Macaca fascicularis: one gene and its partners. The protein of the gene in region 1 interacts with the protein of each later gene in a biochemical or structural test. Links are inferred from orthologs where the notes say so. Each region holds a gene or a part of one and is shown in the gene's direction. Other genes may lie near its edges.

Region 1 (6,033 bases):
TTCTAAATTCCCTGATCCCCAAATTAATATTCCAGATGTCCCAATACTGACCTCTGCTCCCCGGAACAGATGCCCTGGGCCCCTCTGTCCCCTCCAAATCTCCACAACCCGTGGAGATCTCTGCCCTACCTCCTAGGTTGGCGTGGGACGGCAGAGGGGTCCCGCCCAAAGGTCTAGGTTTGAGTTGACTTGCCCCGGAACTCACATTTCCTCTCTGAGCCTTAACTTCCTTGTCTGTGAAACGGGAATGAAACCACCTCACTCTGGTAGACAAGGAGAGATGGAGTGATGAGAGCTGTTACATTAAAGTTCTTACTGATCTAGAACAAGACAGAAGCAAACCGGGGACTTTCCCGCAAATAATAATGTATTACTGCTATTATTATTCTTACCCTTGAAACACTGCAGGTTGCAGAAACTCTGGATCTGCATGGAATTCTGTGGGGCTGGTTCTCTCCAGGACATCTACCAAGGTTAGAGAAAGCACAAGGGGACCCAGGCAACCCTCCCACCCCCACCCCCCAACCCCGACCCGAATTCACCTCTTCCGTCTGTGTGTGTGTATCTCACAGGAACTGTCTTTCTGGGCCATATTTCAAACTCCTGGGCTGAGCTGATCCTCTTGCCTTCAGCTGCTGAAGTGCTGAGATTACAGGCTTGAGCCACCGTGCCTGGCTTTTTAAAATTTAATTTAATTTAATTTAATTTAATTATTTTAAAAAATATAACTGCTGGGCCTGGTGCGGTGGCTCACGCCTGTAATCCCCACACTTTGAGAGGCTGAGATAGGTGGATCACCTGAGGTCAGGAGTTCAAGACCAGCTTGGCCAACATGGTGAAACCCCGCCGCTACTGAAAATACAAAAAATTAGCCAGGCGTGGTGGCAGATGCCTGTAATCCTAGCTACTTGGGAGGCTGAGGCAGGAGCATCACTTGAATCTGGAAGGCAGAAAATCTCTGATTCCTTCCAACCCTAGACCTCAAATGTTAGAAAAGGAAGGACTTCATTGAGAAGTCCTCAGGGAAACTGAGGTCCACAGAAAGGAAGTGAATCCCACAGCTGGTCTGTAAGACCTAATGTCTGACGGCCTTTCTCTGTCTCTCTGACTTTCCGCCTGTGTGTTCTTCCCTTGTCATCCTCTGGGTCTCTCTCTAAATTTGTCTCCCCACATTTTGGCCTCTGACCTCTGTCTTTGTCTCATTTTTTTTGGTTTTTTCAATCCTGTTCCTTCTGTATGTCTCATGTGTGATCTGCCCCCGTTTCTCTGTCTCTCTCTGTCTCTGTGTCTCTGTGCCTTTCCTTATTTTGCAAAGTCATATCACGCCCCTGCTCAGAGCCCTCCTACAGCTTCCATTTCTCTCGGAGGAGAAGCCCAGACTCCTCATCAGGGTCCACCCCAGGCTGGCCGACCTCACCTCCTCCCACTTTCCTCCTCCCCCTCCACTCCACCCCACCGCCTTTGCTGCTTTCCAGACCCACCAGGAACTGTCCCACCTGGGACCCTGCACTTGCTGTGGCTAGTCCCACTCAGAGTGGAGCCCTCACGTCTTCACCTGCTGTCACCTTCAGAGAGCAGCCGTGACTGACCACCTCTGTGAAATGTCATAGCCCCTCCTCCTACGTGCCCCTTTCTTGCTGTATGTTTCTTCCTATTGTCTTTCAGCGTCTGAGGAACTACATCATATTCTACTTATCTTTCTTACTTTCTTTCTTTCTTTATTTTTTCTTTTTCTTTTTCTTTTTCTTTCTTTCTTTTCTTTCTTTTTTTTTTTTTTGAGACAGAGCCTCCTTCTATTGCCCAGGCTGGAGTGCAGTGGTACGATCTCGGCTCATTGCAACCTCCACCTCCTGGGTTCAAGCGATTCTCCTGCCTCAGCCTCCTGAGTACTTGGGATTACAGGCATGCACCACTATGCCTGGCTAATTTTTGTATTTTTAGTAGAGATAGGGTTTCGCCATGTTGCCCAGGCTGGTCCTGGACTCCTGACCTCAAGTGATCCACCCGCCTTGGCCTCCCAAAGTGCTGGGGTTATAGGCATGAGCCACTGCGCCAGCCCTATTGGCCTCTTTTATTTGCATCGCTGCCTCTTTCTGTTGCTGACTACCCCACCATCTCCCCCTCCCACTGGTCCCGTCCTGTTTCCCCTCTCCCTATGGCACCCTCTTAGCTGGTGTGGGGGGGCAGGACTCCCCAGCCCAGGTTCCCTGGCTCCCATCCAACGCCTGGCCTGGCCGGGGTGACCTTTGCAGTGACAGGCTCCCTGTCAGAGCTCCAGATTAGCTATGTCTGCCGGGAAGTGCTCCAGGTAAGGAGAGGCCTGGGTATTCTGGGGAGAGGAGAGGAGGGGAGCCCCCACTCCAGCCCCCAGACACTCACAGTCCCCTTGTCCACCCTTCTCCCCAGGGACTGGCCTATCTGCACTCACAGAAGAAGATACACCGAGACATCAAGGTGGTCTGGGGTTACAGGGATGCTGTTGGGGGGTGGGGCCCAGGAGATGGGCGTGGCATTTCGGGGACTCAGGGATCAGGGTAGTTTGAGCTGTGGGGAAAGAGTCTCCGCAGCCTCCCATACCCCCTCTCATTCCCAGGGAGCTAACATCCTCATCAATGATGCTGGGGAGGTCAGATTGGGTGAGTAAGGCTGGGGGTTGAGCAGGGGGGCTGACTGGGGGGCTGGAGGCACAGTGGACCCCAGATCACTATGTCTCCCTCTGCTTCCAGCTGACTTTGGCATCTCGGCCCAGATCGGGGCAACGCTGGCCAGACGCCTCTCTTTCATTGGGACACCCTACTGGTGAGGGGTGCCCAGCGGGCAGCTAGGGGTGGAGTGGGGCTCAGTGGTTTTTCCCACCGTGGTTCCCCGGGATCCTCCTTCCTGGCTTCGTTTCCCTGTCTCTTCCTTTCTCCATGGAAGATTCTTTCATTCTCTCTGGGTGTCTCTTGAGTTTTCCACTTTTCTCTCTCGTTTTGTGCCCTTTTCTGCCCGTTGCTCTAGGTGCTTGTGTTGGTTTTTATCTTGATTTATCTGTCCCTCCATATCCATTTCTGTTTCTTTCCTCTAGCTCAGTTTGTAGCGCTCTCTGTCTCTTTGTTTCTGTCTCTCACTCTCTTCTCTGCCTCTCTGTCTTTTCATTTTGTTTTGTTTTTAGAGACAGGTTCACTGTGCCTCCAGCCCCACTGTGGCCCAGGCTGGATTGCAGTGGCACAATCATGGCTCACTGCAGCCTAGAACTCCTGGGCTCAGGAGATCCTCCCACCTCAGCCTCCCAAGTAGCTGGGACCACAGGTGTACACCATGACACCTGGCTAATTTTTTTTTTTTTTTTTTTTTTGAGACGGAGTCTCTCTCTGTCGCCCAGGCTGGAGTGCAGTGGCGCGATCTCGGCTCACTGCAAGCTCCGCCTCCCGGGTTCACGCCATTCTCCTGCCTCAGCCTCCCGAGTAGCTGGGACTACAGGCGCCCACAACCGCGCCCGGCTAATTTTTTTTTGTATTTTTAGTAGAGACGGGGTTTCACCGTGGTCTCGATCTCCTGACCTTGTGATCCACCCGCCTCGGCCTCCCAAAGTGCTGGGATTACAGGCGTGAGCCACCGCGCCCGGCCACCTGGCTAATTTTTTAAAAATTTGTGTAGAGATGGTGGTTTTTTTTTTTTTTTTTTTTCTTGAGATGGAGTTTTGCTCTGTTGCCTAGGCCAGAGTGCTGTGGCACAGTCTCAGCTCACTGTAACCTCCACCTCCCGGGTTCAAGCAATTCTCCTGCCTCAGCCTCCAAGTAACTGGGATTACAGACGCCTGCCACCACACCCAGCTAATTTTTGTACTTTTGGTAGAGATGGGCTTTCGCCATGTTGGCCAGGCTGATCTCAAACTCCTCACCTCAGGTGATCTGCCTGCCTTGACCTCCCAAAGTGCTGGAATTACAGGCAAGAGCCACCATGCTCAGCCGAGATGGGGTCTTGATAAGTTGCCCAGGCTGGTCTCAAACTCCTGGGCCTAAATCATCTGCCTTGCTTAGCCTCCCAAAGTGCTGGGATTACAGGTGTGAGCCATCGCGCCCAGTCTGCATCTTCGTCTTCGTCTGCCTGTGTCTGTCTTTCCTCCCGTCCCTCTGTCTCTCCGTCTGACTCTGTGTGCTGCATCTCCCCTCAACTCCTTCTCCTTCTCTGCCCCTCCTTCCCTTCCTGTCCCCATGCCACCTCTGGCTCTCTGAGTGTGTCTCCCCCCAGGATGGCTCCAGAAGTGGCAGCCGTGGCCCTGAAGGGAGGATACAATGAGCTGTGTGACATTTGGTCCCTGGGTATCACGGCCATCGAACTGGCCGAGCTACAGCCACCGCTCTTCGATGTGCACCCTCTCAGGTAGGCAGGTGTGGGGTCCCCAGGCCCAGAGATCCTGTCCAGCCCTGGCCCAAAGCCCACCCTCAGCTTCTGCCTTCCATCCCAGGAACCTCCAGTTCAGGGATCGCCACTTGAGCCTACCTTGGCACATGCTGCAGCTCTATTTTTTAAATTTAATTTAACATTTTATTTTATTTTTTATTTTTTAAGACTGAGTCTTGCTCTGTCACCCAGGCTGGAGTGCAGTGGCGCAATCTCAGCTCACTGCAACTTCCATCTCCCGGGTTCAAGCTATTTTCCTGCCTCAGCCTCCCAAGTAGCTGGGACTACAGGTGTGCACCACCACGCCTGGCTAATTTTTGTATTTTTAGTAGAGATGGGTTTTCACCATGTTGGCGAGGGTAGTCTCAAACTCCTGACCTCAGATGATCTGCCCACCTCAGCTTCCCGAGGTGCTGGGATTACAGGCGTGAGCCGCTGCACCTAGCCTATCTTTTATTTTAATTTTTATATATTTATTTATTTTTGAGATGGAGTCCCACTCTTGTCACCCAGGCTGGAGTGCAGTGGCACGATCTCAGCTCACTGCAACCTCTGCCTCCCAGGTTCAAGTGATTCTCCCGCCTCAACCTCCCAAGTAGCTGGGATTACAGGCAAGCGCCATCAAACCTGGCTAATTTTTGTATTTTTTGGTAGAGATGGGGTTTCACCATGTTGACCAGGCTGGTCTCGAACTCCTGACCTCAGGTGATCCACTTGCCTTGGCCTCCAAAAATGCTGGGATTACAGGTGTGAGCCACCACGCCCATTTTAAAAATTAATTAATTTATTATTATTATTTTTAGAGACAGGATCTTGCTCTGTCACCCAGGCTGGAGTGCAGTGGCACCATCGTAGTTCACTTCAGCCTTGAATGCCAGGGCTCAAATGATCCTCCTGCCTTAGCCTCTCACATAGCTGGTCCTACAGGCCCACATTGCCATATCCAGCTATTAAAAATTTTTTTTTTTTTTGTCTCACTATGTTGCCCCAGGTGGTCTCCAACTCCTGGGCTCAAGCTGTCCTCCCGCCTTGGCCTCCCCAAGTGTTGGGATTACGGGCATGAGCCACTGCACCTGGCCTTGCCGTAGCTCTACCACGCCATAAGCGGCTTCCCTTAGGAGAGGTATCCTGGTGCACTGTAAAACCCGAACCTCACTTCCATGCTGTTTCTCACTTTGCCCTCTGCTGACCGTAATGCTACTAGGAACCCCTCAAGCCATGAGGTCTGGCCCCCTTGAAGGTCTGAACTCCATATCCTTTCCCTACTATTCTAGAGTTCTCTTCCTCATGACCAAGAGTGGCTACCAGCCTCCCCGAATGAAGGAAAAAGGCAAATGGTACGAGAGAGTGACAGGAGGGAGGGTGAGCGAGGGCGGGGCTGGGGCTGGGTGGCCTGATGGGAGGGTCTCTGGTCCCCTCACCCAGAACCTGGCTTCTTCTTCCCAAGGTCCGCTGCCTTCCACAACTTCATCAAAGTCACCCTGACTAAGAGCCCCAAGAAACGACCCAGCGCCACCAAGATGCTCAGTGTAACCCTCCCTTCCCCAAGACCCTCAGCCCAGAATTCCCCGGGGCCTTCCACAACTCCCGAGGACATGGATAACTTCGTTCCACGGAGTCCCCGTGGCCTTCCGAAGTCCCTAATGC
Region 2 (5,456 bases), on another chromosome or scaffold:
ATGACACAGGCAGATTTAGCTGCTTGGTTTTTTCTGTTTTTGCAGAAAGGGTCTTGTTGCCCAGGCTAGAGGGCAGCCTCGACCTCCCAGGAGGCTCAAGTGACCTTCTACCTCAGCCTCCCAAGTAACTGGGACCACAGGCGCACACCAGCACGCTTGGCTTTTTAACATTTTTGTAGAGACAAGGTCTCACTCTTTTGCCAGGGCTGCTCTCAAAATCCTGGGCTCAAGCCATCCCCCCATCTCAGCTTCCCACAGTGCTGGGATTACAGGCGTGAGCCACCGCACCCAGCCCACTGCTATTTTTTCTCAACCTCTGTATCTTATGTGTCTCTCTATCCCCTTCTTTCTGTCCCTCATTTTCTCAGCATCCTATGACCCATACAATGACTTGAGGCCTCTGTGATTTTTAGAGAGGTCTTTAGGAGGCAGCAGAGGGGCCAGGAGGCCAGCTGTCCATCTGTAAATGAGGCCCTGCGGCTGGACCTCCGTGGGCTTTGGTCAATAGATGGCCTGCGGACGTTTTTAGGGAACCCAGTACAACCCCAGGAGCATGATTTGAAAGTTCCTGATACTGTATAAAATGCATACATGGTGCGGAGGCTCATGCCTGGAATTAGCTGGGCATGGTGGTATGCACCTGTAGTCCCAGCTACTCGGGAGGCTAAGGTGGGAGGATCCCCTGAGCCCGAGAGTTACAGGCTGCAGTGAGCCATGATGGTGTCACTGCACTCCAGCCTAAGTGACAGAGTGAGACCTTGTCTCAAAAAATAAAAGATAAAAAGCATAAATGGGCTTTGGAACCGGATAGCTCTGGGCTCAAATTCCCAGCTCTGTCACTAACTGCCGCCTCTGTGGCATGTGTATCATGCCATTTCTCTAAACTGCCGTCTTTCGATTTGTAAAATGAAAGCAGTTCCTGTATTGCAGGATGATTATGAGGATTGGAAAATACCTTATATTTTAATGTAATATAAAGTTATAAAATATAAAATGCCCTCTGCTATATAATAATTCAGTAAATAGTAGTTGGTTTAATAAAACCAAATGAGCCGGGCGCGGTGGCTCAAGCCTGTAATCCCAGCACTTTGGGAGGCCAAGATGGGCGGATCACGAGGTCAGGAGATCGAGACCATCCTGGCTAACACGGTGAAACCCCATTTCTACTAAGAAATACAAAAAAAAAACTAGCCGGGCGAGGTGGTGGGCGCCTGTAGTCCCAGCTACTCGGGAGGCTGAGGCCGGAGAATGGCGTGAACCCGGGAGGCGGAGCTTGCAGTGAGCTGAGATCCGGCCACTGCACTCCAGCCTGGGCTACAGAGCGAGAGACTCCGTCTCAAAAAATAAAAAAAAATAAAAAAAAAATAAAACCAAATGAACAGAGTATGCCCAGAATTCAAATATTGATACTTAAAGGATGGTCATAAAACTCTTTAGTCCAGTGGCATGGCATCTGAGGCTGTATTTCACCATTCAGCATTTTGCCATGGGGTGAATCCATTCATCAGACTGACCTCTGAAGTTTCATAGCAGGATAGAAATATATCATAGATTGTTAAAACTTTATATTTCGGCCGGGTACAGTGGCTCACGCCTGTAATCCCAGTACTTTGGGAGGCCAAGGTGGGCGGCTCACGAGGTCAGGAGATCAAGACCATCTTGGCTAACAAGGTGAAACCCATCTTTACTAAAAATATTTTAAAAATAGCATCCAGGTGTGGTCGCGGGCACCTGTAGTCCCAGCTGCTTGGGAGGCTGAGGCAGGAGAATGGCGTGAACCTAGGAGGCGGAGCTTGCAGTGAGCTGAGATCCCGCCACTGCACTCCAGCCTGGGTGACAGAGCGAGACTCTGTCTCAAAAAAGAAACAAAGGCCGGGCGCGGTGGCTCAAGCCTGTAATCCCAGCACTTTGGGAGGCCGAGACGGGCGGATCACGAGGTCAGGAGATCGAGACCATCCTGGCTAACACGGTGAAACCCCGTCTCTACTAAAAATACAAAAAACTAGCCGGGCGAGGTGGCGGGCGCCTGTAGTCCCAGCTACTCAGGAGGCTGAGGCAGGAGAATGGCGTAAACCTGGGAGGTGGAGCTTGCAGTGAGCTGAGATCCGGCCACTGCACTCCAACCTGGGCGACAGAGCGAGACTCCGTCTCAAAAAAAAAAAAAAAAAAAAAAAAAAAAGAAACAAAAAAACAACTTTATATTTCATTTTGCAACGAGACATTTCGTAAATACATGCTGAAATACAGGGGGGTTTTTTGTTTTTGTTTTTTGAGGCAGGGTCTGGCTCTATTGCCCAGGCTGGAATGGAGTGGTGTGATCTCAGCTCACTGCAACCTCTGCCTCCTGGGCTCAAGCAATCCTCCCACCTCAGCCTCCGGAGTAGCTGGGACTGTGAGCGGCCACCACCACACCCAGCTAATGTTTGTATTTTTTGTAGAGATGGGTTTCACCATGTTACTCAGGCTGGTCTCAAACTCTGAGCTGAAGCAATCCATCCACCTGTGTCAGGCTCACCAAGTGCTGGGATTGCAGGCATGAGCCACTGTGCCCAACCATAGTTGGTTTTTTTGACCCCTCATTGGGTAATGATCAGGTAATCAGCAGCATTGAGGGAGCAGCAAGGTCTGTCGAATGGTGGGATTGGGGGGCTGGGCAGGCAGTGGCTTGTCAAGTAGAGCTTGCTTAATGAGGTGGGGGTTTTCTGAGAGCTAATTGGATTTGGAGTTTGGACCTCTACCTGCCCATACGGGAAAAGGCTTGCCTTGGTCAGGAGGTGATGGGAACACTTGATTTTCTAGGACCAAGTGACCTATGCTTGCCATGATCAGTTTCTGCTGTGCAAGCGGTAATAGACCAGGACATGTGTGCGAGTGGGCTGGGGGACTGTGCTGCTGCCGGACGCTAAAGATGGGAGAAGGTGGCCGGGCACCGTGGCTCACGCCTGTAATCCCAGCACTTTGGGAGGCCAAGGCGGGTGGATCACGAGGTCAGGAGTTCAAAACCAGCCTGGCCAAAATGGTGAAACTCCATCTCTACTAAAAATACAAAAATTAGCTGGGCATAGTGGCGGGCACCTGTAGTCCCAGCTACTCTGGAGGCTGAGGCAGGAGAATTGCTTGAACCTGGGAGGCAGAGGTTGCATTGAGCTGAGATCATGCCATTGCACTCCAGCCTGGGCAAGAGAGCAAGACTCCATCTCAAAAAAAAGAAAAAACACAAAAAAAGAGGGGAGAAGGTTGCTTCTCCTCGGACAGGGTCTGCGGAGCAGGTAGAAAGCCGAGGGTAGTGAGTACAAAGAAAGGGAATACTAGCTCACTCACTGAAGTGGGGATTGCTTGTTCAGAGACACTTGAGATTTCCAATAATTACCACTTTCCTTTTTTAATCAAAAAGTATCATTATCTGGGATCCTGTTTTACTTTCTGTATTCTCTGTTTTTCTGCACTGCTAAAAACACTTCTTCCTTCTGCCTGCATTAACCACAAGGAATCAGTCTGGTGGCTGGGGCTGGGGAGGCAGCAAGGGGCCATTTCTGTCACATCCCTAGAGCAATCACATGGGCAGGGTGTGCTGACCAGAGAACGGAGTTGTGCAGCTGCATTCCTAACTGGAAATAAAGTGCTCTCCTTATTCTCCTCCTGCAGGTCGGTGAGCTGGTAAAGGTTACGAAGATTAATGTGAGTGGTCAGTGGGAAGGGGAGTGTAATGGCAAACGAGGTCACTTCCCATTCACACATGTCCGTCTGCTGGATCAACAGAATCCCGATGAGGACTTCAGCTGAGTATAGCTCAACAGTTTTGCTGACAGATGGGAACAATCTTTTTTTTTTTTCCAGCTGCCATCTATACAGTTTTCTTACAGATGTCAAAAGCAGTCTAGTTTATATAAGCATTCTGTTACCTGTGATCTTTTTTTAGACTGAACTACTCCATTCCTAGTCTTCTGTACCATATTCAGGGTACGAACTGGAGGGCTCGTGTGTTAGCTTCTGAAATTGGCAATTGTAGGAGGTAGTGGCCGTGCCTGTGTGTATCAGAAGGGATAGGTATCTTGCCTCCTTTCTCTCAGGCAATGCAAATCACCCTGTGGAAAACCGATGGACAGGAAGGAGTATTACACACTGCTTACCCTGATTTATTCAGTGGTTTTGTTTTCATTCTGGAACCATACTATCAAATGGCGACAGACTGTTCCCTTCCACCCCCGGGAAGTAATGCACTGTGTGAATAGTATCAAGCAGGACTGCTTTCATTGTATGGAGCATGACCAGCATATGACTCATTCTGACATTTCAGATCCTAAGAATTCTAAGAACACTACTAGAAGCATTTGTTCCTTCCTAGTCGATGCTTCATACTTTTTCTTGGGATTCTTTTAGCCCTTGACATTCTTGTCCCCCAAACCTGTAAGTAGGTTAATTCCTAGGATAAGTGTGTATTTTCATTCCAGGTGAGAAGCAGAATGTACCGAGCACTTTATTCAGTGCATAGCTTTAAGCCAGTGTTGGATTCACTAAGTGGACAGCCAGTCTCCCAGCTCTCTGCCTTCCCCTAAAGGGTCGTAGTAGGTCACCCTTCTACAGCAGTTAACTAGAGTCCTAACTGATGGGATCCAGCAGGGCCATTTCTCTTGAAGGCCAGTATCCTATTAGGAGACTCTTGGAATTCTTAGGTTCTACTCAGAGTGGAAGGACCAATCACCTCTAATATTCTGTGGAAGGTTTTGGGGCCAAATTCTGCCCTCTGCATTCTGTGCAACTTGTATAAAAGTCAAGTTAGTATTACATGAGTTTGGGGTAGGGTTAGTGCTTTGAAAAATGTTGAACTGGCTGGGCGGTAGCTCACGCCTGTAATCCCAGCACTTTGGGAGGCCGAGGCGGGTGGATCACGAGGTCAGGAGTTCGAGACCAGCCTGGCCAACATGGTGAATCCCTATCTCTACTAAAGATACAAAAAATTAGCTGGGCGTGGTGGTGCGCGCCTGTAATCCCAGCTACTTGGGAGGCTGAGGCCGGAGAATTGCTTGAACCTGGGAGGTGGAGGTTGCAGTGAGCCGAGATAGCACCACTGCACTCCAGCCTGGGTGATAGGGCGAGACTCTGTCTCAAAAAAAAAAAAAAAAATGTTGAACCAATCCTGAATTACTGATGTATTATTCATTTCTCATGAGGAGAGTAATGCTGTTGAAGTACATTACATTATAAACTGCCTTCACTTTTGGCTCTTTTTATGTTCAGGTTTAGTTTACCAATCGATTTAAGTATGGAATGATTTATATGGGGTCAGGTGCTCCAAAAAATAGACTTATGAGACCAAAAATGATCTAGGCTATTTAGACTACAGCATGAGACTTCCAAGTTAGTTCCCAGTCTATAAAGGCACTTACCGGTCTGTGGTGTGGTATGACCAGTAGAAACACCTTCTAGTTTGCTTTGGACCTCATTTTGGAAAAAAA
Region 3 (6,536 bases), on another chromosome or scaffold:
AACTTTGTCCTAGGCCATTGTCTGGGCTCATTCCTTTTACCTAAAAATCACTGACTACCTCGCAGTATTGCCGACCTCCCCTCATCTCCCTCTCCTCTATAAAGATGGTGCTCTTTAAGCTTCAGTCACCTGGCTCTTCTCTGAGTCTCATATTCTGTATGGCAACCATGCACACTGCATGTCAGTAAATTTGTATGTGGCTTTTCCTGTTAATCTATTTCCAGTTTATTTCAGCAGACTCAAACTGTAAGAGGGGAAGGGAAAAATTCCCTTCACCCCTACAATCATCTCCTCACCTGCCCTTCCCTGTTCTCTGTGCCCGCCCCCTCCAGTCAGCTATGCCTCTTGACTGGCAAATTTCTGTGTTCTGCCCGTTACCCAGGCCCACTCAAAACAAAAAACTGCAACTCTTCCCTCACGTCTTCCTCTCTGCTTAGCAGCCAAGTCCCTCCCTTCCATTTCTATTTTTTTCTGGCTGCTATTTTAGAACAAAGTGGCATAGTGGGGGAAAAAAACATGGATTTTAGAACAAGACAGGCCTTAGTCCAAATCTTAGGTCTACTATATTTTGGTTTCCTTGGGTAAATTACTAACCTCGCTAAGGCTTAGTTTCCAAGTCTATAAAATGGGCATATTGCCCACCCTGTGGAGGTGCTATGATTTAAGTATGCATCAAGTGGTAAATAGAGGGTCCTTTTGTTATTTTCACCTCATATCAGACATCTCCTGCTCACAAACCTTCAGAGGTTGCCCATCACTTGACTATGACACCTGAGCTATAGATTTTGCATTTTGGCCCCCTCTCTCATTACTCTTCCCCCCAGTTCCTGGGCTCAGACTAATCAAAAACATTGGTTGATGGCCAGGAGTGGTGGTTCACACCTGTAATCCTAGCAGTTTGGGAGGCCGAGGCAGGTGGATCACTTGAGGTCAGGAGTCGTAGACCAGCCTGGCCAACATGGCGAAACCCCGTCTCTACTAAAAATACAAAAATTAGCCAGGTGTGGTGGTGGGCTGCTGTAATCTCAGTTACTTGAGAGGCTGAGATGGGAGAAGGTGGAGCTTGCAGTGAACCAAGATTGCGTGCCATTGCACTCCAGCCTGGGCAACAAGAGCGAAACTCCGTCTCAAAAAAAAAAAAAGTGACTGATTCCATTACTCTTTCCTCTTTCCTCCCCGTTTTCACTTTGCCGTTCAAACCAAATCCTTCTTGATTAGTTCATCACCAAGTACTGGCTCCCTCCTCAGCCATCTCTGTGTAGTTCAGTGGCACTTGGGGCCAAACTACCTGTCTTACAGATTAGGCAACTCCAGATTACAAAGCACTGAAAGCAGGGGCTTTATCTGGTTGGCCTTTTACCCTCCAGAGCCCCTTGCACACACATGATGCTCAATAAATACTTGGTGAAAGAACAATTCATTTTCTGTGTTTCAATGGGCTTGTTTTCTCTATAGAATCAGATGCTTGGTTATTCTCATCTCAGCGCTATTTTGTTGGCTTCCAGAAGGCACATTAACACTAGGTGTGTTCTGTTCTATCCTTTAATTGGAAGAGCTTTGGGAACTGAAAAACAAGAATTATTTCTCCAAGCCTCATCTTCTGCCACTCCCCCGTACTCACCGGCCTCATACAGGAATTGAACTACTTAGCACTGCACAGAACACGACTTTCTCTTTCACGCCTCCGTTCCTCTGTACTTAGCCTCTGTACTTACGTGCCATTCCCTTTCCCTGAAATGCCCTTACTCTGGCTTCTCTGCCTGGCAAATTCCTACTCATCCTCCAAGACTCAGCTCAGACATCGCCGCATCACGTCTGTGAAGGCTCTTCTGCAATGGGCAGTGTAGCAGTCCCTCCTCCATCCTTTTAGCTTCCTCAGCAGCTCCAAATAATTATAACAGTACTTATGGCATTATTTGTTAATTTTTCTTCGACTTCCCTAGACAGTGAATTCCTTAAGGGCCAAGATTTCTGTTCTATACCCAGCACAGTGTTCAGTCTCTATTAGGCACACGATTCAATCAATGAGCAAACAAACTCACCAATCATTCCACACTGCAGAGTTTGTACGGACCGGATTCTCAAACACTTCAAGACCTGGTCCTCTATGTGGAGCGCTTCATGCTGGAAGATCTCTTCCTCCCCTCAGCCCTTATCCATCCAACTGCCTCGGTTTGGTAGAAGAGGAAAAGAAAGTGATTAGACGGGGGAAGAGTCCTTCAGGGCCAAGTTGTCATTTACCTGTTCTGGCACCGAGAGGGTTACGGCGACCCGGGGGCGGAGCCGTGCCAAGGCCACCTGCTGCGGGGCGGTCTGGCGCATGCGCCCTGGCAGCTAGCTGTCCCCACCTGTGGGGGCCCGGCCGAGAAGGAGCGCCTGCGCTCTGGGCCTTTTCCGCTGGGGGAAGTCTCGCGGGGGCGGAGCGGGGCGGGGCCTCGTGGAGAAGTTCTCGCGGGATACCGACGGGGAGCGGAAGCGAGGAGGCACTAGTGCTTCGGCGACCGGGCGGCTGCGGCGTCTGTGTCAGAGGCTGTGTCTGTGCCTGTGTCTGTGGCGGTGACGGCGGCGGGAGCAAGCGCTGCCCTCGCGGAGCAGCCTCTGGGTCGCAGGCCGCTCGCAGCGTTGTGGAGGGGCGGGCCGGACGCTGAGCGGAGCAGCTGCGCCACGGTGAGTGCGGGAGGCTGCGCTCGGCGCGGCTCTGGTGCCTCTTCCTCACCGGTCTGCAGCGGGAGTGGGCCCCGGGGGAACCGGGACCGGCCCCGGGGTTCGGGTCGGGGCGGCGAGGCTCGGGACGTGGAGCGGAATCCCCGGGGCTCCGGACTCTACGTTTTCCCTTTTGGGGCGCTTCCTTCCTGGGGACCGTCCTCCTCCGGCTCTCGGCTCTGGGCAGTCCGGGAGTCCAGGGGAAGAGGTCGGGGCTCCCTGGCGAAGTCCCCTGCCTTCATCGGGAGGGTTTGCACGGAAGATGCCCGGGAAGCCCAGGCGGGCAGAACGCCGGCTGAGTCAGTCCGCCCGAGCCCGGTGGCGGGGGACTTGGTGTGGGTTGCAGCTGTGGTGATTGATGTGCTTTCGACCTGCACGGCAACCACGTCACCATCTCTTGGCGTCTTTGGGCTTAATTTTGTGCGGGAATCTACCTTGGGGTAGAACGTTTGCTGCTGGAGCCGGGGGAGATACCTTTATTCTGACACTTAAAAAAAAAAAAACTATTTGAAAAATGTTTGTCAAGAAAAATTCAATAGCAGCAGGTTGGACTGCACCGAGGAAGGATTGCGGCGAGAGCGGGCGCTGGTAATTTTCATTTGCAGCGTGCCGTCTCTGTGATTGTAAGCCACATGTGAGTTATGGCTTGTTTAGAAAGTTTTTCAAGGCTAGCTTCAAACGCTATGAAAGTGCGGTTTGCAGGGGACTGAAGTGCACTTGAGGTCTATCTCCTCTTGATGTTGTTTACTTTCAGAAATGTCAGACACATGAGAGAAATTAGCATTAGTCTCTTTTGACTTTCTTACCTCTCTTTCACTTAGTACTTCTCCAGTTATGTCCTTCCTTCTTTGCTTCTGTCCATTCCAATAGGGACACGAAATGCTTGTGTAATGCAAGTCATTTGTCCCTTCCTCCCCCCATCACCCCCTTTTTTTTTTCTCTTATCTACTTCCCCTTCCTCCTTGTAGTCCCCACTCTGGCGTAATTTTCCGAGGTTTCTTCCCTTTCGTGCTGTTCGTTTTCTCTCATTTCAATATTACATCTTTTTTCTCGGGAAGAGACTCTCTTTCCTGCTTTCGTTCCTTTACTTTTGCGCGTTCCCTGCAGTCAGCCAGAAGGGTTGCTAGAGAGCTGTGGGAGGCTGAAGTCCCCTCTCTGAGAACAGGGAGGCTCAAAAGATTGAATTAATCCCTAAGAAATCAATCCTGCCACTAGGTCACAAGTGTGGTTTGCTTGTGTTATTTTTGTCTTTTAGTCTTTTTCTTTTAAGATTATGCTTTTGTGCCTGCTTATGCCTTCTTCTAGTATGTCTTTATAATAGTAAGGAAGATTGGGTCGGCTCAGGGCTTACGTGACTTTTTTTTTTTTTTTTTTTTTTTTTAAAGGCAGAGTTTCGCTCTGTCTAGGCTGGAGTGCAATGGTGTGATCTCGGCTCACTGCAACCTCCACCACCTGGGTTAAAGTGATTGTCCTGCCTCAGCCCCCTGAGTAGCTGGGATCATAGGCGCTCACCACCACACCCAGCTAATTTTGTATTTTTAGTAGAGATGGGGGTTTCACTATGTTGTCCAGGCTGGTCCTGAACTCCCGACCTCAGGTGATCCACCTGCCTTGGCCTCCCAAAGTGTTGGGAGTACAGGCGTGGGTCACTGCGCCTGGCCAGAGTTAATTCTTATAATCAGCTTTCTCCTACTAAACACAAGCATTTATTTATTTATTTATTTATTTTATTTTATTTTATTTTATTTATTTATTTTTTTTTGAGATGGAGTCTCGCTCTGTCACCCAGGCTGGAGTGCAGTGGCTGGATCTCAGCTCACTGCAAGCTCCGCCTCCCGGGTTCACGCCATTCTCCTGCCTCAGCCTCCCGAGTAGCCGGGACTACAGGCGCCTGCCACCTCGCCCGGCTAAGTTTTTGTATTTTTAGTAGAGACGGGGTTTCACTGTGTTAGCCAGGATGGTCTCGATCTCCTGACCTCGTGATCCGCCCGTCTCGGCCTCCCAAAGTGCTGGGATTACAGGCTTGAGCCACCGCGCCCGGCCTTAATTTTATTTTTTTGAGACGGAGTCTTGCTCTGTCGCCCAGGCTGGAGTGCAGTGGTGCTATTTCGGCTCACTGCAGCCTCCATCTCCTGGGTTCAAGCGATTATCCTGCGTCACCCTCCCGAGTAGCTGGGATTACAGGTGCTCGCCACCAAGCCCGGCTAGTTTTTGTATTTTGGTACAGACAGAGTTTCACCATGTTGGCCGGGCTGGTCTCGAACTCCTGACCTCAAGTGATCTGCCCACCTCAGCCTTGGGATTACAGACGTGAGCCACTGTGCCCTGCATAACTCAAACATTTAAATGTTTGAGGCACTTTACCCCGTCAGCAAGTTACTCAGATTTGAGAGGCTTGCTGGGTTTTAAATACTACTGGTTGATGGTACTTAGAGATTCTTCTCAGTAATTGCTGTTATCACGTCGCATGTTGTGCATCAGAGTTCTAATTATTACACATACAACAGAAGAGGAATGGATTTTGGAGAAATGAAGTGGTACAGAATAGAGAGTCACCATGCCCTCCGGAGAGAAATTAATACTTACTTGCTTAATTCAGAGGAACTGTCCACCATTACTGAACGGCTTTTGAAAGTCTCTCTTTTTTTTTTTTTTTTGGTCAAAGTTGCCTTTTTCCTAGTGGTACCAAGTGAATATGCATTATTTTCTTTTTTTTTTTTTTTGAGACGGAGTCTTGCTCAGTCGCCCAGGCTGGACTGCAGTGGCGCCATCTTGGCTTACTGCAAGCTACGCCTCCCAGGTTCACGCCATTCTCCTGCCTCAGCCTCCCAAGTAGCTGGGAATACAGGCGCCCGCCCCTACGCCCGGCTAATTTTTGCATTTTTAGTAGAGACGGGGTTTCACCGTGTTAGCCAGGATGGTCTCGATCTCCTGACCTCGTGATCCACCCGCCTCGGCCTCCCAAAGTGCTAGGATTACAGGCGTGAGCCACTGCGCCGGTGCATTATTTTCTTTCTTTCTTTTTTTTTTTTTGAGACAGATTCTCGCTCTTGTTGCCCAGGCTGGAGTGCAATGGCACGATCTCGGGTCGCCGCAACTTCCGCCTCCTGGGTTCAAGCAATTCTCCTGCCTCAGCCTCCCAAGTAGCTGGGATTACAGACATGAGCCACCACGCCTGGCTAATTGTGTATTTTTAGTAGAGACAGGATTTCTCCATGTTGGTCAGGCCGGTCTCGAACTCCCGACCTCAGGTGATCCATTCACCTCAGCCTCCCAAAGTGCTGGGATTACAGGTGTGAGCCACCGCACCCTGCCAGTATGCATTATTTTCATTTCATGCAAGGACATTGTAGTGCATTATCTGGAATGCAAATTTTAAAATCTGGTTAAGGCATCCTTATGGTATAGCAATGATGTAAAATTTAGTATCCATAAAAATCACTGGGGGATCTTTTTAAAATTAGGTTCTGGTAGAACTCCAGGATGTACCCCACAGTGAATCAGTCTCTGAATGGGCAGATTTTGATACAGATGGTCTAAGGATCAAAACTGTTGTTACCGAATGTAGCCATAAATAATAAGACCGCTGTGTGGTTTTAAGTTATTCAAGCTAAAATTACATTTTTCTGTGTGTACACAAAGTGAGTATTTAGAATAGCCTAATGGAATGAGTGACTATAACCATGATTCATTTTTACATGTGTAAATTTTTTAGCATTCTTAGTACTGTGATGTAGAGTGATTTAACTTGAAATTTATACTTAATAGGGTCATTAATTTGCCTACCAGAGAATTCTTCTGAGTCTGTAGACTCAGACTACAGATTTTCCAAC
Region 4 (5,524 bases), on another chromosome or scaffold:
TATAGTTCATTACTAGAGAAGTTTCTCTGAAGGTGTAGAGCACCAAAAACAACAACAACAACAACAACAAATTGATCCCTCCAGAGTGAGTGCTTCTTTGAACTGGATCCGTGTACCATGAACCCAGAGGAAGAATAGGGAGTGATGAGGGAAACAGCAAGGTGACTGCCAAGCTACCAACCATTTTAGGATCTCAGCACAAGCACTGTTCGGTAGAGCCATGGAAGAAGCTGGTCCATAGCCAGGCCTGTAACTGGGCAGCAGGCTGCATAACAGCCAGGATGTCTTTTCTGTGTTAAGATAGAAAACAGCATGAGGAATGATGATGGTGTTTTAGCATGTGGAAACTCCTGCAAGGCCACAATGAGGCACTAGTGGTCAAGGGGCCACCAGAAGTCTCTCAGCCATTCTCTTCCTAGGCTGCTCTTTGACCTACTTCTGCTGGTCAAGGTTCCCTCTGTCTAAGCAGTAGCTCCTTGATCCTATGCTCTGCAGCATTGATTTAGTAGTGTTTTTCTGCCACTTGCTGCTTTTATGTGTCTTCTCTCTCTCTCTTTTTTCTTTTTAATAGAAGCTAGGTCTCACTATGTCACCCAGGCTGGTCTTGAACATGTGGCCTCAAGTGATCCTCTACCTTGGCTTCCCAAAGTGCTGGGATTATAGGCGTGAGCCACTGCGCCTGGCTACACCAAGTGCAGTGACATGATCTTGGTTCACTGCAACCTCCACCTCCCAGGTTCAAGTGATTCTCCTGCCTCAGCCTTCTGAGTAGTTGGGATTACAGACATCTACCACCACACCTGGCTGATTTTTGTATTTTTTAGTAGAGATGTGGTTTTGCCATGTTGGCCATGCTGCTCTCGAACTTCTGACCTCAGGTGATCCACCTGCCTCGGCCTCCCAAAGTGTTGGGATTACAGATGTGAGCCATTGCGCCCAGCCTTTTTCTTTTTCTTTTCTTGAGACAAGGTCTCGCTCTGTCACCCAGGCTAGAGTGCAGTGGCATGATCACAGCTTACTGCAACCCTGCAACCTCTGCCTCCTGCGCTTAAGCGATCTTCCCACCTCATCCTCCCAAGTAGCTGGGACTGCAGGTGCATGCCACCATGCCTGGCTCATTTTTGTATTTTAGAGACAGGGTTTCACTGTGTTGCCCAGGCTGGTCTTGAACTCCTGGGCTTAAGTGATCCACCCGCCTCAGCCTCCCAAAGTGCTGGGATTACAGGTGTAAGCCACTGCGCCCAGCCACTTCGTGTTTTTTACACTATGTTATTATCTAACAAAGATTCATCGTGTATCCCACTTAAAAGACAAGTTTTTTGAGGATACGAACTGACCTGCCCATTTTCCATGGAATAGATGTTCAGTAAATTTTATTTAATTGTTTAGGTAGGATCATGTAGAAAGTATCCTGTTAAAGACCGCCAGACTCACAAGTTAATTGGAAGGTATGAGGTGTGAGTGTTCTTGGTAGCTTTCAGTCCCTAGCCTCCTCATCTCCATCTTCCCGTTGTCTTCCTTGGCTGCTCAGTATCCATCACAGTAATTTATTAGACCCCGTTTTCAGCCTGTTCCTCGTTGGTTTTGAGAGGACCCTTGTTGGTGACAAGGTTGGAAATCCTCTGATACATACAGTGCTGTGCTTCTCAGTGCTAATTCCAGCTCTTCCCTTCGTGCATCCAAAGGGTATGATCATTAGAGGGGGCGTGGGGCTGGGTTCTACTCAGGAATCTCTACTCAAGTAACAATCATTTGATTACTGTAAGACCCTTTCAAAGTTGGAAGGAAACTGAGACTTGGAGAACTTAAGCAGTTTGCTACAGTCATGTAGTTTCTAAAAGTGGCAGAACCAGGACATTTGTTTGGTGTCCTGCATGTTCCAAAGTTCATGGCATGGACCACTGGACTGTGCCACCTTGTGCCTGTTTTTATTTTGAGATGTAGTCTTGCTGTGTTGCACAGGCTGGTCTCAAACTCCTGGGCTCAAGCAATCCTCTCACCTCAGCCTGCCAAGTACCTAGAACTACAGGCACGCACCACTATGCCTGGTTCTGTATGTGTTTAAGCAGACGAAAGCTTATTTATTATTGTCTTAGATCTTAGGCGTGTCTTATATTCAAGTAGTGTTTTTATGGACCTGAGTACACAAAATAGAATCTTAGATTAGTGCTCTGCTGAACAGAGAGCACAATGTCTACAATGGCTACCACCTGAAGGTCTTTTTTAAAAATACACCTTTTTGTGTGATTTGACTTTAACTGTTCTCAGAATCATGTGTTCATTTCTATCCTGTTGGGGTTAGTAGCCAAAATAAAGGGTTGGTTTGGGGAGGAGCTGCTTTGTGCTCAAAAGCTGTTTGTGCGTGTGCGTGTTTTTGTTTTTTTGAGCAGGGTCTCACTCAGTTGCCCAGTCTGGAGTGCCATAGAACGATCACGGCTCACTGCAGCCTCAGCCTCATGGGCTCAAGCCATCCTCTCACTTCAGCCTCCTGAGTAGCTGGGACTAGAGTCATGTACCACTACACCCGGCTAATTTTTCTATTTTTTAGAAGAGATGAGGTTTCACCATGTTGCCCAGGCTGGTCTCGAACTCGTGACCTCAGGTAATCCCAGGAGTTCAAGGTACAATGAGCTGTGATCGTGCAACCGCATTCCAGCCTGGGTGACAGACCCTGTCTATAAAAAAATTAATGTGCATGGTGGTGCACGCCTGTAGTCACAGCTATTCAAGAGGTGGTGGTGGAAGGATCACTTGAGCCCAGGTGTTAGAGGTTACATTGAGTAGTGATCTCACCACTACACTCCAGCATGGCTAACAGAGTGAGACTCTGTGTCTAAATAATAATGTATGGGCCCTTTGGATAAGGTAGTGTTTGTGATTTAATGTAAACTGTCTTTTTCTTGTTGCAGAGAAATGCTAACTTTGTCTTCTTCATCCGTACAGGTTGGTGACATTGTGAAAGTCACAAGGATGAATATAAATGGCCAGTGGGAAGGCGAGGTGAATGGGCGCAAAGGGCTTTTTCCCTTTACGCATGTCAAAATCTTTGACCCTCAAAACCCAGATGAAAATGAGTGATTGCCGTTGCCCCGTTTCCTGCTGCTTTGTTGTTCTGCCTGTCCTAGTCTCCTTTGAAGTGGGAAAGCATTCTCTCTCATAGGCAAGTCACACTGCATTGCCGAAGTCCAGCTTTCTGCAGACTGGCAGTCGCACACACATTTGGAATGCACACAGCGACTGCCTCCTGACGTTTGTATCATAGTTGTATTGTCAAAGAGTAGCCGATTTTAGAGTTCTTTTGGATCATAAACTGGAAATACTGATGGAAGCACACAAGTGGAGAGAAGTTGACGAGGAAAGGGTCTTCCTTCTCATCGCTGCCTGTTTGTACATGGGACTGATTCTGTCGTGTTCACCAGAGAAAGCCTGAGGCCATGGCGAGATACTGCATGTTTGCTGTTCCACAGAGCAGTGGCTCAGCTGCCATCTTGCTTTTCTTTGGACAACAGGAACTGAACCTTAAGGAAGAGAGAATTCTGTTCTAAAACTCCAAAATTCGGCTTTTTTTTTTTCTTTTGGTTTGGTTTGGTTTTGGAAAACTAATTAATTAGACTTGTGTGGGGTTTTTTTGTTTTGTTTTGTTTTGTTTTTTGTTTTTTTGAGACGGAGTCTCGCTCCATCACCCAGGCTGGGGTGCAGTGGCGCAATCTTGCCTCCCTGCAGTTTTCGCCTCCCGGGTTCAAGCAATTCTCCTGCCTCAGCCTCCCGAGTAGCTGGGATTACAGGCGCGCACACCACGCCCAACTAATTTTTGTATTTTTAGTAGAGACGGGGTTTCATCATGTTGGCCAGGCTGGTGTCGAACTCCTGACTTCAGGTGATCCACCCGCCTCAGCCCCTCAACGTGCTGGTATTATAGCCATGAGCCGCTGTGCCTGGCCTAGACTTGTGTGTTCTAAACAGGTTAAGTAGCAGGTTGGGTTTTTATGATAGTGCAAGGAATGACACATGCCTCTGAGCTTCTAAACTGAAGCTGCTGTAACTAAAGGAATCTGAAAAGAACAACCCTGAAGCAGAGGCCTTTATTGTCTTGGTTGCCAGTAGTAGTTTGTTTTGCCATGTAGCAGAAAACACACAAAATAATGCAGCTGTGGTGTGCCATGCCATGTGCACAGCCCCTTGGATTACTTTGTTTTAAAAAGCATCAGAGTTGGGGGGTACTTTAGGGAAACCTTTGCTTACCTTGTTTGCCAGTGATAAGAGCAGTGGGTTGGAGGGCAGTTGGCCAGTTTTCTGTTCAGCTTTTCAGTGAATGTACCCCTTTAAGGTTAAGACTTAAATTCCCCTAAAAAGTGGGGTTGTTCATAGAATCATTGGACTCATTAATGAATCGTTAAATTCCACTCACTGAAGCCCAGACCTCCGTACCCAGGCCCAGTCTCACCAGGCTGCCAGAGAAAGTTGGTGCTGCTGATACTGGTCTCACAGTCTAAGTAAGTGTCTGATGCTCCCAAGCAGTGGAAATGCAGGCTCTGGAAATTGGTTAATGTATTTGATGTCTTAGTGTTTTAGTGACTAGGGAGACCATTAACCAGTTTATCATTAACCACTTATCAGTGTATTGATGTTAAAGCATTTCCCTGTTAGCTAAAAGAGGCCTGTTCATACAAGCCAGCTGGTATATATGTGTGGTTCATCCGTCATCTGCTGCTCATGGCAGACTAGAATTCTGGGAACCCTGTGTAATTCAGTCTGTTCTCCCTTCTGGGCCCTGGTAAAGACAAGCCTCAGCTTATAGTGAACACAGCAGACCTAGAAATGTAGCAACAGCCTAATGAGTAACTGTCATTTACTGAGTATCTGCTGTGACTGTGGCCCTGTCTGGAGGTTCCTAGGTTTTGAGATTTAGAACAATGCCTTCTGGAGACAGAACCAGCAAAACAACCATTTTTCAATTTTTCTTTAAATCAGTATTCTATTAGGCAGATAACTGCCATATTCATGAATCTTGAGAGTGTTCCCTGTGACAGAATTAATGGTCAGTTGGGAAAACTATCACCATGGCTTCCCATCTATGGTTCTCCTCTAAAATTCTTAGAGATTAGCCCTTCCTTGCCAGTGAGAACGGTGGCCGCCTCCTGCTCTGCATGGTCTGCGGCAGTTGCCGCTTCTGGTTAGGTGTGTCAGGTTGGTTTATTTTGGGCTCAGGCCTGGCGTAGCACCCACAGGTGGCAGATATATCACAGAGTCCCCAAACTCTGCCTAGAAATAGTGTTTGCCCTTTAGCCAGTGACCTGGTTCATCCCTGCCCAAGTTGAACCCTGAGTGGAGTTTCCAGCAGAGGGATGAATGTGCCTTGTTCAAGGAGGGCACAGACCCTTAAGCCTTTTTCAAACAGATTTAGCTGAAGGACTTGACACCTTTGAATTACAGCAGTTGACTTAGAGCGCAAGAAGTCTGTGGCCATTTTGGAAAGCAAGGTTTCCTTTCAGCCCTGTCTACTGACCAATACCCCAACTCACCT
Region 5 (5,973 bases), on another chromosome or scaffold:
AAGTTTTGTATTTTTAGTAGAGACGGGGTTTCACCATGTTTGGCCAGGATGGTCTTGATCTCTTGACCTTGTGATCCGCCTGCCTCGGCCTCCCAAAATGCTGGGATTACTGGCATGAGCCACCATGCCCAGCTGGGAAAGACAACTTTTAAAAGAGTGGTATAAGTTTATTCTATGGGAAAATTGGACCAGTTAGAGAAAAAAAATAAATTAGCAAAATGTTACAGTTTAAAAGTTGTAGCAGAGTTAAAAATAACTTCATTTTGAATTAGAAAAGATTTGAGTGTGTTTTTAGATAATTGAAGGGACTGAATAGGAAGGAAAATAAGGATGTCGAGTCCCAAGAGAGTCCGGAAAGATAGTATTAAGATCCTAGAAGGATCAGGATTTGGAGACTTGAGTGAAGAGAGAGAGTGAGAATAATGAGAGTTTTGAGACAAAAGGAATTTGAGAAGTTTTACCTAGGGAGGCCTGTTTTCTAGGTAAAGTAGAACATAAAATCACACGCTAAGAAATGGGCAGCAGTGAAAATGCCTGACTGAAGTTGATGTAGCATACATTTGTATTGATAGTACCATTTGGTGATTTTCTCATTGCTTTCAACACATATGTATTTATTAAGCATTTACTGTGTACTAAGCACTGTACAAGATCCTTGGGATTCTATCTGTAAACAAACAAAACTCCCTGCCCTTGTGGTGGTTACATGTGACTGGGGTAAGGGGAGAAAAACAAATAAATAATATTTTAAAATAAACATATGAGGTAAATAACGCTACCTGGGTCTGGGAACCAAGAAAGCAAATGGGAAGATTAGCCAGACATAACTGCAATTTTATATTGCATATCATATTATAATTTAAGATAGAAATAATTTTATTTTTATACAGCTCATTGTAGAATCTAGCTTGCTTTAAACTAAGACAAGAAGAGTATGGGTATGGTGGAGCCTTTGTGTACCTAGATTGTAGCTATGAAAGAAATCTATATTTACATTTAAGAGAGAATTCATCAATTTAGGACAACTTTATAATTATGTTATAAAGTTATTTCAGGGCCTTTGACAAGAAAAAAGATGGTGAACTGTCATATAATAACTGAAATTAAATATTTATTTGGTTAGAAAAAGATAATTTGCATCTTATTTCCAAAAAGATGATTTTTAACTACATAGAAATTTGTTATGTTTAAAGGCTTTAAAGATCTATATAGAGTTGAAGATCCCTTTTTAATAATGAATAAATTGGTTCTTTTGGCAATCATTTTTTTATATTCTCCTCTCATGGCCCTTTTTAATTTCAACAGGCATTGGAAAAGTGAAAAGAAAACCTAGTGTGCCAGATTCTGCATCTCCTGCTGATGATAGTTTTGTTGACCCAGGGGAACGTCTCTATGACCTCAACATGCCCGCTTATGTGAAATTTAACTACATGGCTGAGAGAGAGGATGAATTGTCATTGATAAAGGGGACAAAGGTGATCGTCATGGAGAAATGCAGTGATGGGTGGTGGCGTGGTAGCTACAATGGACAAGTTGGATGGTTCCCTTCAAACTATGTAACTGAAGAAGGTGACAGTCCTTTGGGTGACCATGTGGGTTCTCTGTCAGAGAAATTAGCAGCAGTCGTCAATAACCTAAATACCGGGCAAGTGTTGCATGTGGTACAGGCTCTTTACCCATTCAGCTCATCTAACGATGAAGAACTTAATTTCGAGAAAGGAGATGTAATGGATGTTATTGAAAAACCTGAAAATGACCCAGAATGGTGGAAATGCAGGAAGATCAATGGTATGGTTGGTCTAGTACCAAAAAACTATGTTACCGTTATGCAGAATAATCCATTAACCTCAGGTTTGGAGCCATCACCTCCACAGTGTGATTACATTAGGCCTTCACTCACGGGAAAGTTTGCTGGCAATCCTTGGTATTATGGCAAAGTCACCAGGCATCAAGCAGAAATGGCATTAAACGAAAGAGGACACGAAGGGGATTTCCTCATTCGAGATAGTGAATCTTCGGTAAGTTGATTTTCAGATGTAAATACAAATAGAGCTCTATGTATTAAAATGAAAAAGAGAAATGGAGAGGTTAAGTGGCTTCCCTAAAGTTAACCAGGTAACAAGCTGGGACATAACATAAGCATAAATGTTCCAAAGCTAAAGTCAGCATTCTTTCTAGCTATCTATTTTCAATGAAAAGAGAGTTGTGGCAGTGATGCTACATGCTGAGTTATTTGGTCTTTTCTAGTTCTGTTGATTTTGCATTCCTGATATATTTTCTGTTGCATTAAACTAAATGGAGAAAATGGAACATTGACTTCTTCATTGAATGTAGAATAATACTGTAGATTAAATTGGGAAACATTTTAAAAATTGCTATTGGATACAATGTGTAAGAAGATAGTCACTGTAGTCCTTATGACATAGGAAATCCCTGAATTTAAAAAATTGATACTAAGTTTCTTCATAAATTGGTTACTTGGAAATTGGAATACACTTTTTATTGTAATCTCAAAAAACCTATTTTAACACTGTGTTTGAAATGCATTTGCAATAAAAGGTAAATTATATTGCAATACTAGTAAACAATAAAACTATAAAACCATAAAAGTTGAAAAATAGTATGGTTTCATGGTCTCTTAGATACTGTTTAGGATATTAGAATTTGATGACACTCATTTTCCTTAAAAATGCCCTTTTCCTTGATAAAAGATATCATTACTTTTCCATTTATTAAATCATGATTAATCTTGGCTTTGCGTGAGTATATTTGTACAAAAGGGAATGTGTAATTGCACAAAATTTTGAAAGAAAATGTGTGGAAGTGGGGTGTGGTGGGGAGAGAGATTAATTGAACTTCTAATATGAAGTTCAGGAAAATGGGGCCTGTGCCTAATCCCTCAGAAAAGCAGTTGGTTGGCAGTAGGGAAGAGTGATGACATCCATTTTCTGTTAGTTGCCTGATCTGGCTCACTGTTTGAAACTTTGGGAGTAACTGTAGAAAAAGAGGCTTTTGGGGGTTGATATAGACTGTAACAACAACAACAACAACAAAACACCTAATTAAAAAGAAAATAGCTTGAATGCAGAATTGTGTGTATTTTCTTGTGGGTAATTGAGCATAAATATAAGACAAAATACAATATATACCATTATTTTTAGCAGTATACTTTTTAAGGTTAGGTCTCAAGTAGGCATATTTTGTTTAGCCTTCACAGTGTTTTTTAAACGTTTAAATTCATTGCCCATATTTAAATATTAGGATATTTATTGTAAAAATTCAGACTTTGGACCATTTAAAATTGAAAGAACTACCAACATTGAGACCCTATTCCTGCGGGGCAACAATCACAGCTGAGAAGTCACCACTTCTTTAGATTGGTGATGCACTGTCATTTTCTCTGCCCATCTACCCTTCCACTCTGACACTTGTTTACGTTATTCTTTTGGCTCTTGTAGGCATTTGAGTTTGTGGCCTTTCCTTAAAGTTTAGATTAATTCTCATTTGTGTGTTCTTCATTTTTGGGAATTCAGCGTGTTATCCCTAAGACAGCTACTGTTAGCTACACATTGAAAAGGGGTTGGGTGGGTATCTTAGACTTTCTCATGTGTTTCTCTGACTGGAGAGAAGATAGCTCTTGTTCTTCAAATATGTAAGGGATTTGCTGTGGGTGTCTACTGGTGGAGCTGTGGGTGTTAAGAGACTTTTGATTACACAGGTTTGAATCCTGGCTCTGTTGTTAACTAGATGGATGATACTGGCCAATTTATTAATAGCTTCCCTGAGACTCAGTTTTCACATCTGTAAAAAGGGTTTTGTTTTAGGGAGTAAAGGAGATAAATCTATGTAAATAATTTACCATGGTACCTAGGACTTAGTGCTTAAATTTTAGCTTTTAGTTTAATATAAAAATACTGATAGAGGGCTTTCAAAATGTTTACTGTATTTTTTTTTCTCTTTTAGCCAAATGATTTCTCAGTATCACTAAAAGCACAAGGGAAGAACAAGCATTTTAAAGTCCAACTAAAAGAGACTGTCTACTGCATTGGGCAGCGTAAATTCAGCACCATGGAAGAACTTGTAGAACATTACAAAAAGGCACCAATTTTTACAAGTGAACAAGGAGAAAAATTATATCTTGTCAAGCATTTATCATGATACTGCTGACCAGAAGTGACTGCTGCATAGCTGTAATTTGTCATGTAATTGAAGACTGAGAAAATGTTGGGTCCATCGTGCTTGATTGGAAATGGCTGTTTCTAAACCTTTATGAGAATTGACAATAAGTATTTTTATTATAATTCAGCCCATACATATATACTATGTATGCAGTGCATCTGCATAGAACAGTTCCTTATCCTTGGCCTTCTGTTTTATTGTTTTTTTTCTTTGCTGTTTTCCCTTTGCTTCTAATATTACAGTTTTGTATTTTGAAAAAAAAAATCAAATAATGCTTATCAGAATCTTTATATGGAAGAAATCCTTTATTGCCTATCCTTTGTTTCCTTGTAAAGGCGCCCTGTTCTGTTATGGTTTTTCATTATATAAAATTATTATATCTATATATGACATATGCTAAAATAAATTTCTTGGAGAGTGTTAATCTTTTCTGTGACTAAATAGCAATAATAAATGAAAAATTAGAAATTATTTCCAGGTATTATATTTGTCACAGGCCATTGTAAATACCAAGTATATTGTGTCTGCCTTAATTTTAAAAAATGCATTCATTGTCTTCAGTCGTACAGAAAGACACATGAGACATAGATTAGAAAACATGTTGTACAATTTTAATTTACAACTGTTGGAAACAAAAATCACTTTCTTAATTTTTTTTCCAGTGCTTCTCCCTTATCTGGTTATTCAAGAAAGCCAAATTGTCTCTGAGATATTTAGCTTTTCAAACTATAAATAGATGCTCTAGTGTTATTTATTTTTTTTAATCCCACTTACTTTACCAGGGCATCTTGTATTAGGATATGTTATATTTATGCCAGTGGGAAACAAGTTATGGCCAAGTTTTGCAAAAATAGGAAGCAGTGAGATACTTGGTTTTTTCTCCTCACTAAATATCAGTAATTATCAGGAATGGTATTACCTATTTTCATTTCCTCTTTTCAGCTTTAAATTTTGTTGATTGGGACGCTAAAACTGATGTATACCTGAGGAAAAAATAGAATGTGCTCATGGTTAGGGAAAATTATATTATTTTTAATTTTTTCTTTTTTTTTTTTTAGCCAAGTAGGAATTTGGGTGTATGGATGAGAGGTTAATCTACTTCTGTAGGCTATAGAAGAAAACCAGTTGTATTTTATGGTCATAATTTGTCCCCCTGTTATTGTGGAAATTTAAATTTAGGTAAAGTAGCCGTCAATATTTTAATTGAAAAATACTAAAGCCACATAACTGAGTGGGATGTCATATGATACTTTCATCAAATTCCCTAATGCTGCCTAAGCATATGGATGTTTTAATTCTTTGCTATGTTATAAACAGATATCTAATACACCAGAATTATTGATGGTAAAATGGAAGTTGTGTAACTTGTGAATTTTTTTATCAATGTTTTAAATATTTTATTATTTAAATCTTAAAATCATTTAAAGACTTACGTTGCCACTGGGTGGCAGCCATGGCTTCTCCCACTAAGCAGCAGAAGTGACCAAATATAATAAGACAAATTTTCATCTCTATTACATCTGCTTTTAAAACATTTTAGTTCATATTCTATTATTTTTCTAACTCAGTGCTCCTTTGTTAAAGGTAATTATTAATAGTTAAGTTTTTAATGGAAGTAAAACTCATGTATGCTTATCTTCTTTGCTGTAAAATCACATGAATATAAATTGAGGAAAACTGTTTAAATGGTTGTAGGATGACTAGTAGTAAACATCGTCTTAATTTTTAACATATATATGATGAGGCTTTCCTTTTATTTGCTGTACGTTTCTGGGTTTTTCCCCAGTCTTCCTT

The links.
Region 2: the proteins of MAP4K1 (region 1) and CRK form a complex in vitro, tested with the Homo sapiens proteins (2 studies listed by BioGRID). The link is inferred for Macaca fascicularis from reciprocal best matches to the Homo sapiens genes MAP4K1 and CRK.
Region 3: the proteins of MAP4K1 (region 1) and GRB2 form a complex in vitro, tested with the Homo sapiens proteins (3 studies listed by BioGRID). The link is inferred for Macaca fascicularis from reciprocal best matches to the Homo sapiens genes MAP4K1 and GRB2.
Region 4: the proteins of MAP4K1 (region 1) and CRKL form a complex in vitro, tested with the Homo sapiens proteins (2 studies listed by BioGRID). The link is inferred for Macaca fascicularis from reciprocal best matches to the Homo sapiens genes MAP4K1 and CRKL.
Region 5: the proteins of MAP4K1 (region 1) and NCK1 form a complex in vitro, tested with the Homo sapiens proteins (2 studies listed by BioGRID, with this or other methods). The link is inferred for Macaca fascicularis from reciprocal best matches to the Homo sapiens genes MAP4K1 and NCK1.

The regions. Positions count from the first base shown.
Region 1 is NC_088393.1:45,678,195-45,684,227, reverse strand, and holds part of MAP4K1 (mitogen-activated protein kinase kinase kinase kinase 1), read left to right. Parts: intron 1-408; coding exon 409-473; intron 474-2,252; coding exon 2,253-2,308; intron 2,309-2,406; coding exon 2,407-2,454; intron 2,455-2,593; coding exon 2,594-2,636; intron 2,637-2,726; coding exon 2,727-2,799; intron 2,800-4,233; coding exon 4,234-4,365; intron 4,366-5,660; coding exon 5,661-5,723; intron 5,724-5,833; coding exon 5,834-5,915; intron 5,916-6,033. UniProt on the Homo sapiens protein: Serine/threonine-protein kinase, which plays a role in the response to environmental stress. Appears to act upstream of the JUN N-terminal pathway.
Region 2 is NC_088390.1:1,530,210-1,535,665, reverse strand, and holds part of CRK (adapter molecule crk), read left to right. Parts: intron 1-3,645; coding exon 3,646-3,783; 3' UTR 3,784-5,456. UniProt on the Homo sapiens protein: Involved in cell branching and adhesion mediated by BCAR1-CRK-RAPGEF1 signaling and activation of RAP1.
Region 3 is NC_088390.1:81,805,639-81,812,174, reverse strand, and holds the start of GRB2 (growth factor receptor-bound protein 2), read left to right. Parts: upstream 1-2,471; 5' UTR 2,472-2,667; intron 2,668-6,536. UniProt on the Homo sapiens protein: Non-enzymatic adapter protein that plays a pivotal role in precisely regulated signaling cascades from cell surface receptors to cellular responses, including signaling transduction and gene expression.
Region 4 is NC_088384.1:31,929,445-31,934,968, forward strand, and holds part of CRKL (crk-like protein), read left to right. Parts: intron 1-2,943; coding exon 2,944-3,078; 3' UTR 3,079-5,524. UniProt on the Homo sapiens protein: May mediate the transduction of intracellular signals.
Region 5 is NC_088376.1:39,808,437-39,814,409, forward strand, and holds the end of NCK1 (SH2/SH3 adapter protein NCK1), read left to right. Parts: intron 1-1,305; coding exon 1,306-2,018; exon of another isoform or gene 2,019-2,054; intron 2,055-3,963; coding exon 3,964-4,158; 3' UTR 4,159-4,648; downstream 4,649-5,973. UniProt on the Homo sapiens protein: Adapter protein which associates with tyrosine-phosphorylated growth factor receptors, such as KDR and PDGFRB, or their cellular substrates. Maintains low levels of EIF2S1 phosphorylation by promoting its dephosphorylation by PP1.